3 linked regions of the Ovis aries genome follow. The protein of the gene in region 1 interacts with the protein of each later gene in a biochemical or structural test. Links are inferred from orthologs where the notes say so. Each region holds a gene or a part of one and is shown on either strand. Other genes may lie near its edges.

The links. The genes of interacting proteins can lie anywhere in the genome.
Region 2: the proteins of PLK1 (region 1) and NEDD1 form a complex in vitro, tested with the Homo sapiens proteins (2 studies listed by BioGRID). The link is inferred for Ovis aries from reciprocal best matches to the Homo sapiens genes PLK1 and NEDD1.
Region 3: the proteins of PLK1 (region 1) and KLHL22 form a complex in vitro, tested with the Homo sapiens proteins (2 studies listed by BioGRID, with this or other methods). The link is inferred for Ovis aries from reciprocal best matches to the Homo sapiens genes PLK1 and KLHL22.

What each region holds. Positions count from the first base shown.
Region 1 is NC_056077.1:21,879,336-21,886,027, reverse strand, and holds the start of PLK1 (serine/threonine-protein kinase PLK1), read right to left. Parts: upstream 4,133-6,692; 5' UTR 4,026-4,132; coding exon 3,624-4,025; intron 2,962-3,623; coding exon 2,793-2,961; intron 1,414-2,792; coding exon 1,269-1,413; intron 317-1,268; coding exon 223-316; intron 1-222. UniProt on the Homo sapiens protein: Serine/threonine-protein kinase that performs several important functions throughout M phase of the cell cycle, including the regulation of centrosome maturation and spindle assembly, the removal of cohesins from chromosome arms, the inactivation of anaphase-promoting complex/cyclosome (APC/C) inhibitors, and the regulation of mitotic exit and cytokinesis.
Region 2 is NC_056056.1:166,690,243-166,696,415, forward strand, and holds part of NEDD1 (protein NEDD1), read left to right. Parts: intron 1-1,363; coding exon 1,364-1,411; intron 1,412-2,578; coding exon 2,579-2,781; intron 2,782-3,829; coding exon 3,830-3,983; intron 3,984-4,919; coding exon 4,920-5,076; intron 5,077-6,173. UniProt on the Homo sapiens protein: Required for mitosis progression. Promotes the nucleation of microtubules from the spindle.
Region 3 is NC_056070.1:72,531,002-72,536,604, reverse strand, and holds the end of KLHL22 (kelch-like protein 22), read right to left. Parts: intron 5,084-5,603; coding exon 4,850-5,083; intron 4,475-4,849; exon of another isoform or gene 4,271-4,474; intron 2,954-4,270; coding exon 2,588-2,953; 3' UTR 2,182-2,587; downstream 1-2,181. UniProt on the Homo sapiens protein: Substrate-specific adapter of a BCR (BTB-CUL3-RBX1) E3 ubiquitin ligase complex required for chromosome alignment and localization of PLK1 at kinetochores.

The DNA of each region.
Region 1 (6,692 bases):
CGGATGAAAGCCTGCAAACTCTCATCCCAAGAAAAACTGTTTCTGTACACATACATCAGCCTCTGTATGCAATTTCAGACAGGACCCTCTAAAGCTGTTACACTTACCCATGGGGTGGCACTGACCCATCTCTTTCCCCCGGAAATGGCTGGGCTCTGTAAATCACTTGGTGGGGGAGGGAATTAAATAAAACAAATGTAAACTTAAAGTGGTTTTAGTCACCTTGGGAATACTGTATTCATTGTTCTTGATCCGGAGGTAGGTCTCTTTTAGGCAAGAGGTCTCAAAAGGTGGCTTGCCCACTAACAAGGTATACCTGTAAGCACAAGGAGGGATTTGGCTCAAGGCTCCCAACCAAAACCCAGATGCAGGGAGGAATCCTCTCAGGGCCAGAAAGGAAGTCAGACATCTTTTGGGCATTCACTGTGACTCTGGGGCCCCAGAGGACAATTCACAAGTTCACTAAGCAGCCCCAGGAGCCACGACACTGGCAGGGAGGTACCCTCAGTAGAATACAGGTGATGAAACTGGGTTCTAATGGACCAGTGACTTTTTAGCTATAGCCTGCGGTAATCTAGGGGCCAGAGGCTGCCAGCTAACATGGAACAGGTCCAAGCAGGGGTCACTTTCCTTGAGGCAGCCCCACAGTTAATAGTTCTGTACTTTAGGCTGCAAGTTTTCATGTGGGAAATTCCAAGGCAAAGAAGTAGGAAAGCCATTTCTAACTCTCCAGTATCCAGGGAAACAACAAAAGGGGTAACACCTGAACAGGCCCAACTCTCTGCCCACCACCCACCTCTGATGGCCTTGACCCAGACAGACCACAGGACCTCCTCCTGCCAGCACCACTCCTGGCCTAATTCTTCCCACCCAATGCTGCTTTTTAGATCAGTGGTTCTAATACTTTATTGTGCATAGAAATCACTCAAGGGTCTTAATACAGATTGTGATCCAGTTAGTCTGGGTCTTGAGATTCTGCGTAACAAGTTCCTACGTGATGCTGCAGCTGGTCTGCCGTACTTTGAATAGCAAGGGATTAGAGCAAGTTTGTGGAGACATTCCCTCCCTCATTCCCTGAACCCACAGCCCAGGCTGCAGGAATCCTACAGGATATACCAATTCAGCAATGAGGGTTCCTTCAGAGACCATCTGTCCTCTGGAACAGTCTTTCCAAAGGCGGAAAGGTCTGCAGGATAAAGCCTGCCAAGTGAGATGTCCAGAAAGCCCCTTGCTGAGACTGGTGGGTCCTGAGACAACTCCCAACTTACATGATGCACCCAATGGACCATACGTCCACCTCGAAACTGTGCCCTTTCTTGCTCAGCACCTCAGGAGCTATGTAATTAGGAGTCCCGCACAGGGTCTTCTTCCGTTCCCCGTCATACTCCACTTTGGTTGCCAGTCCAAAATCCCCTGGGACAGAGGGAGGAAGAGGGAGGCTCAGATGCCAGCTTCTGTCGTCTGTCAATGCAGACAGCTGGTTCAGCTGGTAACCATCAAGAACCAGGGTCAAGTGATCTCTCAAAGCCTCTAGTCCTTGTGTACAGCAAGGACTAGATTCCTGTTACCCAGGAATCCTCCCACCATGCTGGCCCTAGGGAAGGGCCTCCCAAAGACTCTCATCACCCCTCCCCTTAGAAAGGAGGGGTTTACTTCTAAAAGGGAACTGACAGGGATCTGCTAAGTCGCTTCAGTCATGTCTGACTCCATGTGACCCCACAGACAGCAGCCCACTAGGCTCCTCCGTCCCTGGGATTCTCCAGGCAAGAATACTGCAGTGGGTTGCCATTTCCTTCTCCAACACATGAAAGTGAAAGTGAAGTCGCTCAGTCGTGTCCGACTCTTCGTGATCCATGGACTGCAGCCTACCAGGCTCCTCCATCCACGGGATTTTCCAGGCAAGAGTACTGGAGTGGGGTGCCATTGCCTTCTCCGACTGACAGGGATAGCAAAACTCAAACACCTTCAGGGATTAAGCAAGTAAATGTCAAGATGGCTACTTGGCAAGTTTGTGAGGAAGTGATACGGAGGGGTGGGGAATGTGGCAAACCATAGGGCATCTAAAGGGAACAGCTGCTGTTCAGTACAGCAAAGAGCTGTCTTGAGGGAACGCTACCCCTGTACTGCTGGAGCTCTCGAGTGTTTAAAAGGAGCTCCAAATTCAAAGTTTTACATCAAGGCTCTCAGTTTAAAAAAGTGAAAATGAGGAGCGGCTTCCGTGATGGCTCAGTGGTAAAGAATTCACCTGCCAATGCTGGAGAAACAGGTTCCATTCCTGGTCGGTGAGGATCCCATGTGCCACAGAGCACCTAAGCCCATGTGCCACAACTACTGAACCTGTGCTCTAGAGCGCTGGAGCCACAACTGCTGAAGCCTGCGCTCCACAAGGAGAAGCCACTGCAATGAGAAATCCGCACATGCGACGCAGAGTAGCCCCCACTCACCGCACCAGAGAAAGGCATGCAGCAGCGGAGACCCAGTGCAGCCGAAATAAGTAAATTGAAAAAATATTTTTAAAAAGTGAAAACAAATCCAAATTCTTAAAAAAAAAAAACAAACTGTATAGAACACACTGCCCCCCTCAAAGCACATCTGCAGACAAGACACTGGTTTGTAGCTCTTTAAGTTCCTGTCCTAAGAGAGGATTCTACAGCCAATCAACAGCCCAGACTTCCTACCATCCTCTTCCTCTCTCCCTTGTCTCTTTCCAAATTTCCTCTCCCTCACCCTCCCTCCCAGCTCCTCCTCATTCCCACTGCATGTCAAATGCCCTTGCAGTCCCAGCTCCTTACCTATTTTCACCTCCAGATCCTCGTTCAGGAAGAGATTGCCCAGCTTGAGGTCTCTGTGAATAACGCGGTTTCCGTGCAGGTACTGGCAGCCCAGGACGATCTGCCGCAGGTAGTAGCGGGCCTCGGGCTCCGTGAGAGCTTTCCTCCGCTTGTGCAGCTCCAGGAGAGACTGGGAGCAGGAGGGAAGGAGAAATGGGAGCCGGTGCTCAGACCCAAGGCAGGGAGGGAGTGTCATTAGGTAAAGGCAGCCAGGACGCTACTAACCATTTCTTCAGGACAACTGCGATCCAGACTCCCCCCCCCCCCAAAACCAGGCCGCAACAGTTCATAGCAACCCTCTCCCACTGGCTCCCTCCCAAAACCCTTACCTGGGACCCCTCTCTCAGACCCCTCCGGAAGCTCAGAGACCCCAGTATCCCGGTCCCGGAACTCTTGGCAGCAACAGGTCCCTTTCCTGCCCCTCCCCTCCCCCGGAAGCTCCGAAGTCTGGCTCCAACTACCCTCTGCCTGACCCAACCCTACTCGGGAAAGTGAGGGTCCGCAATATCCCTTACCTAGCAACTCCAAAGCCCTGGCGTCCATAAGCAAGGTTCTCCCGCACCTCCCCCAATCCGCCCAACTCCTAGCGTTCAGAAGCCGCCTTCCCTAGAGGCCCCAAGTGCCGAGAACCTTCCCTCTCCCCAAGACTTTCTCCATTTCCAGTTCCAGGTTCCCAGCACCTCTTCCCTAGCAGCTCTGAGCCCCGGGGCGCCCCTTCCCCAGCAGCTCCGGTTCCCAGTGCCCCAACCCCTGACGCCAGGGCAGTTCCAGTTCCCCAGCAGCGACACTCACCCTCCGGCGGCAGAGCTCCAACACCACGAACACGAAGTCGTTGTCTTCGAAAAAGCCGTGGAAGCCTACGACGTGCTGGTGAGCGAGGCTGCGGTGAATGGATATCTCCATGGACATCTTCTCCTTTTGGTGCGGTTTGAGCAACAGCGACTTAGGCACGATCTTGCCCGCGAACACCTCCTTAGTGTCCGCATCCGAGATCTCAAAGCACTTGGCAAAGCCACCCTTCCCCAAAAAGCGACCCCGTAGATAGCGCCGCCGGCTGCGAGGGTCCACTAGGACCTCCGGAATCTCTTTCGCCGGCGGGGCGGCCGTCGGAGCCCCGGGAGCTGCAACTCCGGGCGCTTTCCCTGGGTCGGCTGGTGCCCGCCCCAGCTTCCCTGCAGTTGCCGCCGCACTCATGTTCCCGGAGTTGCTCAGCGGACCTAGCAGGGTCTAGGCAGAGGCTTGGCACGGCTCTGCCTCTCCTCGAATTCAAACGCGGCGCCGGGAACGTTACAAGAGCCTACGCGCTACTGATTGGCCGCGGGGATTTAAAATCCAAACCCGCCCGCCGCGCGGCACTCTGGGAGCGCTCGGCACTGCAGCCGCCTTTAAACTCTCACCCAGGCCCTGGGAGGAGCTTGATTGGCAGGGATGGCGGACGGAAGACACGTGGGATGCCTGGGAAACCAAAGCTGGTGTGGGGCTGCTGAGACCCCGCCCCAGAAGAGGGTGCGTTCAGGGTTTCTCCTTTCTCGACGGCAGGGGAAGCTCCTGCAGTCCGCGAGGACCTCCTCCAGGAAGCTTTTCCCAGCACCTTCCTCCATCCCCACCTCGCCTTCTAGATTATAAACTCTGAGAATAGAGACCTAGAATGAGAGACAGCATGGGGGAGCCCTAACATCCGCCCCGGAAGTCACCAGCTCTCTTCCAAATCACCCCATAAACTAAAATCGAAGTCTAAAGAGAATGCTTGCCAGGCAAACGCATCTTCCAGACAAACCCCCTACTCTTCTTCAAATAACAGCAGGGGCCACCAACATCACCAACACCTGGGAGCTTGTTAGAAAGCCAAAGCTTCAGGCCTCAACGCAGACCCCCCCAATTCAGAATCTACCCAGTGATTCCCACACATATTGAAGTTTGAGAAGTACAGTACCAGAACCCCACCACCCCCGCCAGGGTCATTCTGCAAGAAAATTGTCTGGCTGGCTCACTGCTCTATTTCCCAGTGCCTAAAATAGTGGACCCTCAAGTGTTTTGTAAGAGGGAAAGATGACAGGTTGGCAGAATGCCTGGCAAACTGGTAAGCCAAGGTCAAATTTGGCTGCAGAGGTGTTTTGTTTGGTCTTTCACTTTTTAAAATTTGGATTCATATACAGGAGTGAAAAATCAAGACAGCTCACATAAAAATGCAACTTTGAAAAAACTATTAGCTGTTGCAACTCTATGCTTACTTAACATACCTTCCCAGTTTGTCAGAGTTCCCTGATAACCCTCCTTTGCCCCTTTGCCTGTCTGGCTTCCATAGATACTTAAGTGGCAACCCTGAGAATCACTCAAGTTGTAAGCCCAGCATCCTATGATGTCTTTGCTAGGAGTCAGCAAAAGTCATATCAGTTATCTCTTTACATAACTCCCAATAAACTCAGAGGCAATGAAGACATCTTTCCTACCCCATGTCCCAAGCTCTCAGCACAATGCTTGGCAAAAAGGAGTGACTAAAATGCTTTATAAATAAAAGGGAGTTGTTTTTAAAAATTATTATTTTTTAATCCCTGTGGTGTACAATATTGTTTTATCTTTTTATAAAGTTGAATCTATGTACCGAAAAAGTATACATCTGTTAATTGGACAGCTCAGTGAATTTTCACAAAATGAGTACACCTCATGTAAGCAGCACCCAGACTGAGAAAGAGTACACGACCAACCACCCCGTAAGTCCTCCTTGTGCCCTGGGGCGGGGGGGGGGGGGCCCAAGACCATCCCCCTACAGGACTCAGCATATAGTTCTACTCACAGATGACTAGGATTTATTACAGTGAAAGGTTATGAAGCAAAATCAGCCAAGGGAAAGGTGCATAGAGCAAAATCCAGAGGAAACCAGGCACAAGCTTCCCAGAGTCTTCTCCCAGTGGAGTCAGTCACACAGGACACAACTCCTCCAGCAATGAGTGTGACAACACGTGTGAAATGTTATCTACCAGAGAAGCTCATCAGAGACTCCAGCCCAGGGCTTTTCTGGGGTTTGGTCACACAGGCACCCTCTGCCTGTAACACACCAAAATTCTACACTCCTGGAAGGAAAGCAGGCATGCAGCATAAACCACAGTTTACACAGTTTAAATTCAGTAAGCAACTCCTGTCATTTAGGGAATGGTGAGAACTCTCCTGAAATTCAAGAACCCAGATGCCAGCTGAGGGTCAATCTTCCAGCTGACGGCACTGGGAGCTTTCCTTCAGGAAAAGGGGAAAGTTTCCAGAATATTTCTGAGAAATGAAGATCATAAATGCTCTCCCCGCCCCCAAAGCTCCCTGGGTGCCAGGCTTTTGATCAGCAATACTAACCTGACATTTTTTCAATAATCTTTTATTCTCATCCAGGCCTTTCATCCAGAAGGGCTGTGTGCAAGAGACATGGGAATAATTTTGCAGATAAATATTTTAATATAATTTAACTGGAAAAATATTCAGGAATTGATCAGGATATGTTATGGGCTGAACTGTGTTCTCCCCAAATTATATGCTGAAGTCCTAACATCCAGTACAGAAGGTGACTGTATTTGGAGATATGGCCTTCAAAGAGGTGATTAAAGTAAAATGGGTGGGCCCATCCAATATGACTGGTGTTCTTATAAGAAGAGATTAAGACACAGACATTCAGACAGAGGGGCAACCATGTGAAGATACAGTGAGAAGGCTGCCAGGTGCAGGCCTAGGAGACAGGCCTTAGGAGAAACGTGCCAACTGCTTGCTCTTGGACTTCTAGCCTCTAGGACTGTGAGCAAATACATTTCTATTTTTTTAAGCCATCCAGTCTGTGCTATTTTGTTATTGCAGTCCTAGCACACTAACAGAGGATGAAGT
Region 2 (6,173 bases), on another chromosome or scaffold:
GTGGTACAGGATTATTGAGTGTCTTCTACCTTACCCTGGCTTGAAAATAAATCCTTAAATTTCCCAAATTCCTACTTCTATCTAATAAAAGAGGAACAATTCCTTTCTTTCAGAATGAAGAGAGGTCATACTACATAGTTGAGGGGTAAGGAGAGAAAAGATATGGGCAAAGCAGGTAGAAGTGGCTTGGGCTGGAGATCAGAAAGGTTTTGGAGTTTAGTACCCAACTGGGGAGCTTTGTTTATGAGAGTCACTCGAGTAGTTTTTAATTTAAATTTAATATTTTAATTGAAAGGGCTTTTTGGAAGTGTTTGAGTTATAAATAAAATCTCCTTTAATGGTGTTTGATGGTAAAGTAAAGGATATAAACTCCCTTTTAATTGCTTTTGCTGTTTAAAGAAGATATGATTAAAATTTGAGCCATACGCCCTTCCATTTATTAGAGTTTGATATTAATAAGAAAAAATGTGGATACTAAAAATAGTACTGGTTTTCACTGTCAAGAGGTTTGAATATTAATCTCTTAGAGTCAATACTACTTAGGTAAAAGGCTTAATCTTTTTTCCTCAATTTCTTCATCTTTTAAATAATACTTTTGCTTTTGTTAGGAAAAAATGAGTAACTTCTAAAAATGTGTGTTGTATGATTACTAGATGTAATATACACATGCAGACAGAGATATGAATGAATGGAGATATGGATGCAAGTCCTACTTGTAATCATGTGTGACAATTCATTGGCCATTTGAATTTCTGGGGAATTTTTAAATGACCTTTTCCCATTTTTATGTTAATCTATTAAAATTGAGATAAGCAGTTTTTGGTTGTTATTTGATAAATGAATAATATTACAGTATTGAAATATTCTTAAACATATTCTGTCATTGAAAAGATACTGATAAAACCTTATATTTTTAATTAACATTGTATTTTTTGCAAAATATTTTTACATTATTTCAGTTGATCCTTAAAACAATTTCTGAGGTGGTTGGGGCATTGTCCCCATTATATAGGTGTAGAAACTGAAGCATAATTAAAGTCTTGTCCAAGGTCACAAAGCTGTTAAGTGGTATAGGCAGACCTGGATCACAGGTCTTTGGAGCCTTCTCCAGTGCTTTTTGTAGTATACTTTGTTGTCTCATTAAATGACTCTATATCATAGAATTATCTTTTCATATTTGCTACTATGCATGAAGGTAAAAGAATGAAAAGAGAATTCTTAGGAGTACTAGCTTTATCTTCATTTCGATTTTTCTTCATAAAATCATTAGTTTCTGAACTCTTTTGGGAATGGATAGGAAACCTAAATTGCTGCGGCTTCTTTTGCATTATTTTTTAAATTTTATTTTCCAATTTTATTATAGATGCTGTAGTTAACAAAGGAGTGGATGAGTCCATAGGCAAAGGAGATGGTAAGAACCGTTGAGAAGTATTTTTTATCAACGTTAAAAGTGATTTTGTGTTATCTACTTCTGTGTAACAAATTACCTTAACATTTTGAAGCTTAAAAGAATATTTATCATGTCATAATTGTGGATTAAGAATCCAAGCATGGCTTAGCTGGATGCCTTTGGCATCAGGTATCTCATGATGCTTTAACTAGGGTGTCAACAGGACTGCAGTCATCTCAGGGTATGACTGGGCAAGGATCTGCTTCCAAATTCATTCATGTGGCTGTTGGCTAAAGATATCAGTCCTTACTCATGTGGGCAGCTGACAGCAGAGCAGCTGACTTCACTCAGAGCTGGTGTGAGATGGAGAGGGCACTCAGGATGGAAGCTAAGGACTTCCCTAGTGGTCCAGTGGTTAAGAATCTGCCTGCCAAAGCAGGGGACAAAGGTTTGATCCCTGGTCCAAGAAGATTGCACAGACCATGGAGCATCTAAGCCTGTGTACCACAGCTACTGAAGCCCATGCCTTAAGGCCTGTCTGAATGCCTCAGCACGAAAAGCCACTGCGGTGAGAAGCACATGTGCAGTAATGAAGACCCAGCACAGCCCAAAGTAAATAAATATTTTTTAAAAGATGGAAGCCACAGTGTGTTTGTAACTTAATCTTGGAAGTGAAATCCACCACTTCTGCTATATGCTCTTTGTTAGAAGCAAGTTCCTAGGTCCAACCCACATTCTAAGGGAGGTATTTATATGAGGCTGTCGATCCTTGGGAGGAGGCAGGGATCTTGAGGAGCCATCTTAGAGGCTGTCTACCAAGATCCACCTCAGATACATACCAAATTGACAGTTTTATCAAAAAATTTTATTGACTAAAACAGTCATCATGCTTTGCTGTTTTCAGCATATCTTCACATACAGTATCTCTTTTATACCTCATCATTTAGGGCAGTGGATATCATCATTCATACTTACAGATCACCTAAACAGTCACAAAGAGTTTTACAACTTTTACCCCAAAAACTCAAATGAAGTAAGGGATAGAGCTGACAAGTGAGCTTGTCTTTTGAATCCAGATCCCATGTCTTCCTACTGTATTAACATATCTATTATGTTAAGTGCTTTTCTTAAATATCCGAGACTGGGGACAGTCCATGTAAGTGCTGGCTTTTTTCTTTTCTTTTTCAGGCCTTGACTTTCTACCACAGTTGAACTCAGTGTTTCCTCCAAGAAAAAATCCAGTAGTTTCAAGCACTTCAGTATTGCATTCTAGTCCTCTTAATGTCTTTATGGGGTCTCCTGGGAAAGAAGAAAATGAAAATCATGATCTGACAGCTGAATCTAAGAAAATGTATCTGGGAAAACAGGAATCTAAAGACTCCTTCAAGCAGGTATCTGCCTGTAAATGATATTGAACTCACTGCGTGTGTTTATTACTAGCAAGTATAATGCATCTCATCACTAGAAAGCAGGCAGCTGCCACTGGATATACCCTAATTATTGACAGTGCTGTGCACTTACTAGGTGGAAAATATTCTTAAATCTTGATGTCACATGTTAAAAACTGAAGAACACTTTTGAAATCTGTCTTTGGATATGTTGGAGGTAACAGCAGGTATAATCTTACACTGTTTTTTCCCTAAGACAAGATACTTGATTTAACTGTAAGAATATTTTATCCCTGAATTCTCTTAGAATGTATTTCCATTGCAGCACAAAGCACCAAGTTGGTGCTTTTACCCTAAGTCTTAAAGCAAGTCGATGGTGCTGAGAATGTGACTCATCATCATTACCTTCTGCTGTAATCTAGTAGGGTCTGTTGTTTAGTATGTCTGTTTTCATATTTATCTTTTAGAATGGTATTGAGGAGAAACTTAAGAAATATGAAAATCTTTTGACTGACTTTTCAAATATTCCTGACTAGTTATCCCATGAGAGTCTGGGGATTTATTTTTTATTTATTTTTTGGCCTGTGATTGCCATCTTAAATGATATTCAACAGCGGATTCTTAGTAAATAAGCTTTTCCTTGTCATCATCAAAATCATCAAAATTGTTTTTGACCAGTAAAGTTAGTTATTTTGTCATGGTGCTAGCAACATTTTCTTTTCTCCTTCAAGATTCCTTTCTATTCTTCCTTTTTCTGACCCTATTTACTGGGGAAAAATAGAGAAAAGTAGATACAAATTATATGGGTAATATGGATAAAACCAGAATTTTTTTAACTTTTGTATTGGGGTATAGCCAATTAACAATGTTGTGATAGTTTTAGGTGAACAGCAAAGGGATTCAGCTGTACATATACGTGTATCCATTCTCCCCCAAACTCCCCTCCCATCCAGGCTGCCACATAACATTGAACAGAGTTCCGTGTGCTTTACAGTAGGTCCTTTGGATAAAACCAGAATTTATATATTAATTATTTATTTTAAATGTGAAGTTTGCAAAGTTGATCTCCGGTGCTGAAACTGGAAATCTAAATGCCTCTCCATCATCTAACCAAACAAGAAGCCCTGAGAAATTTGAAAAGCCAGAAAAAGAAATTGAAGCCCAGTTAATAAATGAACCTCCAGGCAATGGATCCTCAACTCCAAGTAAGAACATAAAACTTCTGATGTTTAAGTGTTAAGTTGAAAACTCCCATTATTTAACTTGTAAAGGATAAGTTGACAGTCAGTGATCACAGATGAAAAAGTTAAAGGAATTTAAAATTTGTGACACTTCTCTAGTGTGTGACTCTCTTACTAGAAGACAGTAAAACGAAAGGTTAAATTCAGCCACATTAACTTGGTATTCTTTGGGTATGAATTTCACTTTCAATCCAATATGTAAGTGTCTTGTCTACTGTGGTACAGATAGGAATATAATATAGGGTCATTAACTACCTGAAAATGTCTTTTTCTTTTTCCATATTAAAGTTCTGTCTGTATAGAGTTCATGGCAGAGACCTTAAAAACTTGGTCACATTTAAAGCAATATTAGGTTTAGCAATAGGAGTTATCTATACAAAAGAACTCTTTGTATAGAAGGAGCTCTTTTATCTAGATATCTGTATTTTGAGGTTTCTGTGGATATATTGCATTAGCTTAAACTCTAGGGCTTTGCCTCAGAACTACTTTACTCCTATGTTCCTTCTGTTTGTTTCTAATAGTCTTGGTTTATCCAGCAGCTGGTCACATTCATTTTTTGTAAGAGAAAATGGTTCAGAGATCCTTTAAGACTTAATTCCTCTGTCAGATGTTATTACATTAGACAGTTGGCAATTTTTATATATATATATATATATATATATATATATATATATATGAATGACTACTAGAAATAATGTCATAGAAAGTTTCTAAGACTTGTATTCCAGACAGTGAATTTTTCTAAATGTCATAGGAGGACTGTTTTTGTTTTTTTGTTTTTTTGGTGAGGAGGGGAGGTTGCCAGTTTTTCAGGCTTTCTCATGCTGAATCATATTTAGAAGTATTTGATGTCTCTTAGTCCAAGCTCACTATTAATATTTTCTCAAATTTTTATTTCAGATCCGAAGATAGCATCCTCTGTCACTGCTGGAGTTGCTAGTTCACTATCAGAAAAAATCGTTGATACCATTGGAAATAGTCGGCCAAATGCACCGTTGTCATCTGTTCAGATCCGTTTTATTCAGAACATGATACAGGAAACCCTGGATGACTTTAGGTAATTGGGAAATTACTCTTTCTGTGTAGACTTTGACTAGCTTATTTTTGTTAGGTGTAAAACCGTACCTGTGAGTAATGGTGGTGGTGACTACTTTTGCGTAGGTTCTGGGATGTGTAAAAATGTAGAAGACACGATGGGTTTTGTGAATCTTTAAGTGCCGAGTTTATTTTATACCAGCCAAGGAAAGGCACGTTTCCCTGGGGCAGTTATCAGAGGACTTGACAGTGTGGCGGCTGGCTGCCACTGTGGATTTTTTTATCATTAAAATGTGGGCAGATTCTGATGGGCTCAAATGGGATTCCTACAGTATTCATAGACCGCCTGTTAACTATGCTATGTGCAGTAATGTGGTAGAGAAAGACATTTTTAAAGGAATTTTGAATATTTTCAAATAGAATGTGTCAGAATATACCTGGTGGCTCAGATGGTAAAGAATCTGACCCCAGCGCAGGAGACCTAGGTTCGATCACTGGATCAGGAAGAACCCCTGGAGAAGGGAATGGCTACCCACTCCACTATTCTTGCCTAGAGAATTTCATGGATGGAAGAGCCTGGGGGGCTACAGTTGATGGGATCGCAGAGAGCTGGACTCAACTGAGCAAATAACACACACACAGAATATTAACACATAATTTTAAAAAGTTCTTGCCTGGATCTGCCCTTGTCTTCTCATTCTGAATTTTGAACGTTGTAAGAATGTTCTAGAATGTTGGTTCCTTTTACCTGTGTTCTCAATATATTTTGAAAGCTCTTTTCAATTATCAGAATCTTTTTGCGTTTTTTTTTCCCTTTCTGACCTTTACTTAGTACTTTTGCTCGGATTTGGGATATCATGAGCAAGAATGTTAGAGAAGATGTGTAGTTTTTGTTGTTACATGTTTCTTTTTAATGTTAAAAATGTTTTTTAAAAATTTAAATGTTAAATATATTTTTAAAGAAAAATAATCAATTTGACTTTTTACATTAATTAATTAAAATCGGAGGATAATTACTTTATAGTATCATGGTGGTTTTTGCCATACATCAACATGAATTCCGGAGAAGGAAATGGCAACCCACTCCAGTACTCTTACCTAGAGAATTCCGTGGACAGA
Region 3 (5,603 bases), on another chromosome or scaffold:
GTCAGCGGTGGGGGCAGCCAGGGACGCAACCGCTGCCTACAAGCCCTTGTCGAGGTGAGAAGTGCGCTAGGAGCCTGGGAGAGGGATTCTGCTTGAGAGGCCGTTGGTCCCAGAGGGTTTCCAGAAGGTGGAGCCACTCCCGGAGGCCCAAGGCTCCTAAATCCAGAGTGGGGCAGAGGCGGCAGAGAGACGGGGTGCGTGGGGCCTGGGGACCTGGAGGAACAGGGCAGCAGAGGGGTCAGACGGAGCTCCAGGCCCGAGGAGCAGGGAGGGCAGGCAGGCCTGGGGAGGGGACGGCAGCGGGGCGGCCAGCTCCCAGCAGAGCTGAGCTGGGCCTCTAGGGACCTCAGAGCCAGAGGCAGGGCCAGGGTGGGGGGCGGGCTCCATTCGGGCTCCCCAAGGAGGGCTCCTGCCTGTCATGTGAGGGTCCATCAAGGAGGAGGGGGCCTGGTCAGAGGCCCCGACAGGCCCAAGGCTGTGGGCACTGCTGGGCTGCCAACAGACTGGTGCGAGGGAGCCCCGGGGGTTTGGGGCCCCCTCCGCCAGCCGCGCTGGTGCAGGATGGGGGCGGCCTCAGGCAGGGTGGCGGGGATGTCCAACTCCTGGGGTCACAAACGCAAACACTTCTCTGGGGCAAGTCAACAGGCCAACCACTTCCGGGCAGCCCTGCAGGGCACGGCCAGCTCTCCCAGGGCCCCGGCCCCTCCCACGGAACCCCCATTGGCTGCCCTCTAGGGTGGCCAGCAGAGGTCTGTGCGGCTGCTCTATCCGCCCTGCTCCTGGCTCTAGAGGCGTCGCCCAGCTGGACTGGGTTCACGGACAGGAACCTCAGACTCCCATCACCTCCCCGCCCCCCTCCAGCCCCAGAGCTCCTTCGGGCCCCAGCTCTGTGACAGGCCCCTCAGGACTGTCTGAATGCAACTCTCTGCCCGGCCCTGGCCGTGTGCCACCTGTGTCTGCTGCCCGCAGGACAGGACCATCCCCAGCCTTGTCTCAGGCCCACCTCGTGCCTGATGGCGAGTTTCCCGGCCCCACCCACGCCCCCATCGGGAGCCTGGGTACAGGCGGAGTGGGGGGCCGTCTGTCTGCCTGGCCTGTGCCAGGTGGATACCAAAATGAGGGCGTGCCCACACGACTGGCCAGCACAGAGGCCAGTAGTGGAGGCCCAGAGCCTGGGCCTGGCGGGGGTGGCTCCCGGAGGAAGCCAACTTTGAAGGGAGAGAGTGGCCTGGAGGCTTGAGTGCAGCCGGAGAGCCTGCCCAGCTGGCAAGGGCTGCCTGGGCTCAGGGAGGAGGGGGCGGGCTGCTGGCTGTGGGCCAATGCTGCACTGGTCCACGGCAGGGCCCGGCTACGGCCCGGGTCTTAGGAACCCTTCCAGGCCCCACGTCTACCCCGCCCCATGCCCTGGGGTCCTCACAGACTCCTCTCCATCCCCTGCAGACCAGAGGCCTCTCGCAGCCAGGCCTTGGTGCCTGGCTGGGGAGTCAGCTGCGGCAGGCCTGTACACTCTGGGGCAGGACGGGCGTCTTGGCCCTTCTTCACAGAAACCTCCGAGGTCTGCAGGGTGGTGGCAGACACAGAAACAGGGGCCCCCACTCCGAGCTCATGGTCCCGCACCTCACCCTTGGGAGTCGGAGGATGACCCTGGACAAGTGGCCATCCTGTCCTGTGGGAAAGGACCACCAGGGTCAAGGCCGGGCTCGCTGCCTGGCCTGAAGTGTTAAGCGCGTGGTGTCATGTGGGGTGGGGCGTGGGGACAAAGGCAAAGACCCAGAGCGGTGGGGGTCTGCAGGAGGGGGTGAGAGGACCCCACAGGAGCGGACAGTGTCCTGGTGCAGGTTGGGCAGTGCGGAAAACGGCGTTGGAACCTGCAGGTCCCACCCACTCAGGAGGGTCCTTGAAGCTTACCTGGAGGAAATGCAGAGGCCCCTCCGCAGGACGTGCTCAGATGCAGGAGACAGGCGCCCCCTGAGGCTCTCACGCCCTCCCTCCCCAGGTGCTGAGCTTCCCTTGGCGCCAAGACGGCTACCGGAATCCTGGTTCACAGGAGAGGTCCACAGTGGGAGAGGCGCTCCAGCCGGGGTCCGCAGACAGGGACATGTGTCTTGGTGACACCCTCCAGCCGGGGGTGGGCTCCCCCCCAGAAGCCACTCAGCCCAGGCCAAAGGAGAGCAACGCGCCTCGCAGAAGGTGCTTTATTTCATTTATCAACAACACGGGGGCAGGAAGGCCCAGCTGCAAGGCCCTGTTATCACAACCAGCCTCAGGCCCCTGGCTGGCTCTCTGCTCCCACTTCCGTCTCAGGAGCTGCTGGGCTGGCGATGGGCTCAGCCCGGCTCCCCCGCGGGGGCCCGTCCCCAACCCCCTTGGGAGAAGGCGCCCTCTCAGCCCAACAGTGACTAAGGCGGAGAGTGGTGCCGGCGCCCAGCCACGCCTGCTGAGGAGGAGAGGCTTGGGGGCTGTCTGGAGACCGGGCCCTTCCCAGAGGGTTCCTGCCACAGGTCTGCGAGCCCCCAAAACACCTGCCTACCTGCCGACGGGCAGGGTGGGGGACACCTGGGATCTCCCACTCCCCCGCCCCGGGAACCTAGTCCTCGCTGGAGTTGTCGAACTCCTCCCAGTCAGACACACTCATCACCTCGGAGGCGAAGTCCGGGTCGGCCTGGCTGCGGTCAGGGGTCCCCCGGGGCGGCTCGAGCAGCAGGGACCGCGGCAGGGTGAGCACACAGGCGGCCAGGCCCGAGATGGAGTTGTCCAGCGGCGGCCCCTCCTCCCAGCTGTCCTTGCCCGCGTCGTAGATGTGCACGTAGCCCGTGCGGCTGCCTCGGTTGTGTGAGCGGCCGCCCAGCACGTAGATCCTGCTGTCGAGCACAGCAATGCCCGGTTCCCCGTGCCCGGCCGGGAGCGGGCAGACGGACGACCACTGCCCGGATCTGCAGCTGTAGCAGGCCACCTGCAGGGCAAGGTGCGGGCTCTCAGGGGCTGGGGGCCCCCAGGGAGGGCTCTGACCGGCTGCTGCCCTGCGCCACCTCCCCAGCCCCTCAGCCGGCCGGTGGCCCCAGGCCCGTGGCTGTCTCCCCTTTGGCCTGGGGGTGCTGGCTCACTCCCCTCCACCGCTGAAGCCGAAACTCAGAAGCCAAGCGCACGGAGCACCGGGCAAGATGCAGATAAAATGGAGAGACAGGCTTGCTGAGTCGTGATGACTGTCAACATTCTCTTGGGAAGTACCCAGCGGCCCAGTGGTGAGGACTCGCACTTTCCCCGCTGGGGCCCCAGGTTCAATCCCTGGTCAGGGAACTAAGATCCCACAAGACATGTAGTGTGGCCAAAATAGAGAAAAAAAATCATCTTGCCTTCAAAGCTACCCCAAATAGTAAACGTGGGAACCAGGGGAAATGTTCAACCTACTAGTAATCCAAGAATTGCAAAACAGAACCTCAGGGACAAATCGTCAGCTGTTAACGAGCGGGCACTGGGGGAGAAAAGGCACCGGCCAGGCGCCCATCTGACCAGTCAGGGCGGCAACGTGCAGAGCTGCACAGAGCCACGTGGACGCCAGCCCTGCCTCTCCCACTGCGAGGAGGCCTGGCCACCAGGGCCGGCCTCTGCGGGCGGTAAGCGCAGGGACGTGGACACGGGCGGACGGGCGACCCTGGATCTTCGGGGACGCCTAACTGCACAGCCCTTGGAAGCAGCAGGGGACGTGTGAAGGCCCAAGATGGGAGGGGAGCTGCCGGCTTGGAAGGGGAAGGGGCCCGAGCGGCCGGCCCACAGGCTTCCAGAAGCCAATAAGGGCTTCAGCTCACAGCGGTGAGGAGCAGGACCCGGCCCCACCGAGGGGGCTGCGCTCTGCTGACACCCCGGGTGAAAGGACGCCAACCCTCCCGGGGCTCCGCTGAGGACGCACCCTGGACTGTCAAGTGAGAGCCACAGGCTGCCAGCACAGGCGCCCGCGGGTTTAGGCCCCGCACCGGGGGCGGTCTGTCCCAGCTGCCGCAGGAACTGAGACGCTGGGGCCTAGCGGCTCTGAGCGCTGGGGGCCCCGTCTGGGGACACCCAGCCAGGCGAGCTGAGGGCCAGGGAGGGTCCCATCTGGGGAGACCCAGCCAGGCGGGCTGAGGGCCAGGGAACCTGCATTCCTGGTGAGTTCTCTCCTGATGTGGGTACTGCTGGCCCAGGAGCCACATTTCAAGGACCGCAGCTCTCGCCTCAGGAGATGACCCAAGATACCCAAACAGCTCCACGGAGCAAACGCTGCTTCAAATGTTACCTGAAACGGCCACAACTTGACCAGCCCCAACGTCAGCGGTCTGATGAACTCTGCACAGCCACTGGGTGGCGTGGGGCGGCCCTCAAACGAGAGGACACACCCACGGAGCCGGGGCAGGTGGGCGGGCGTTCAGGAGGGCTAACACTCCAGGCTGGGGGCCAGATTTCAGGAATTCTTGTCCCCTTTCTCCATTTTCCCAGAGTTCTGCAATGTGGTTAGACTAACTTTATAATTAAAGCTTTTAAGAATAGTGCAGGCAGGTGACACCTCTCTGTGACACCCTAGTGGTGGACACGTGCCATCTGTCTCAACCCCGACTGTGCACCCCCAGGAGTGACCCCAGGCCAGCCGAGTTATCAGCTGTAAGGACGCCACCCTGAGGTGCGGGTGCCAAGTGTGGGGAGGCGGTGGGCGCGGGGGCGACGGGAAGCCTCGCTGCTCTGTTCGGCTTGGCTGCGAAGCTGAAGCCGCCCTAGGAAACGCAGCCTAGTAACCAGAAACGCGCCCGTGTCCCCCCTGCAGCCCGCCTGCTGCGTGGCCGGCTCCTCACTGACACCCGCGGGAGGCGGCCCCGCTCACCTGGTGCACGTCTCTGCGGTAGCCCGCGTCGTTGTTGCTGCCCCCGATCACGTACAGCTTGTCCAGCAGCGTGGCCATGCCGTGCCAGGCCCGCCGCACCGGGCCGTCGGCCAGCGCGTGCCAGGTGTCGCTGCCCGGCTCGTAGCAGTGGGTCTCCTTCAGGTAGTCCTCCCCGCGGCGGCCGCAGGTGACGTACATCTTCCCGTCCAGCGCTGCGCCCGCGTGGGCGTAGACCTGCGGCGGGGCACCGGCGTGAGCGCCAGGAGGCCAGGGGCCGCGCGACCCCCGCTCCTCCCTGGACGCCCCGTCCCGCCCCCCACCTTCCCCACGGAAGAGGATTCCAGGGCCCAGAGGCGATGCTGCGCTTCCCCGAGGGGAGCCGCAACCCCTCTTTCCGCACCACCCCCCCAAGCAATGTGCACCGGACCCAGAGGAAACCATCACAGCCCCATCTTCACAGAGGCCTCCTGACCCCCATGCCCGCCAACCCTCCAGGCCTGTTATCAGCTCCTTTTTCTGCTCCGATATGATCCTGCGATTTTAAATATGGTGAATCACACTGGTTAAATTTCGAGTACGGAACCAGCCTTTGTAATCGACTCTATTTGGTCATGAATTTCTTTTGGAGGGAGAGGGGAATTTGCTAATATGTAGTCACGAACATTCACATGTAACTGTAGGTATGGCAGACTTGCTCTATTTTGGGGGGAGAGGCTGCTGTCTTGTATGGTTTTGGTATCAATTTAATGATAAC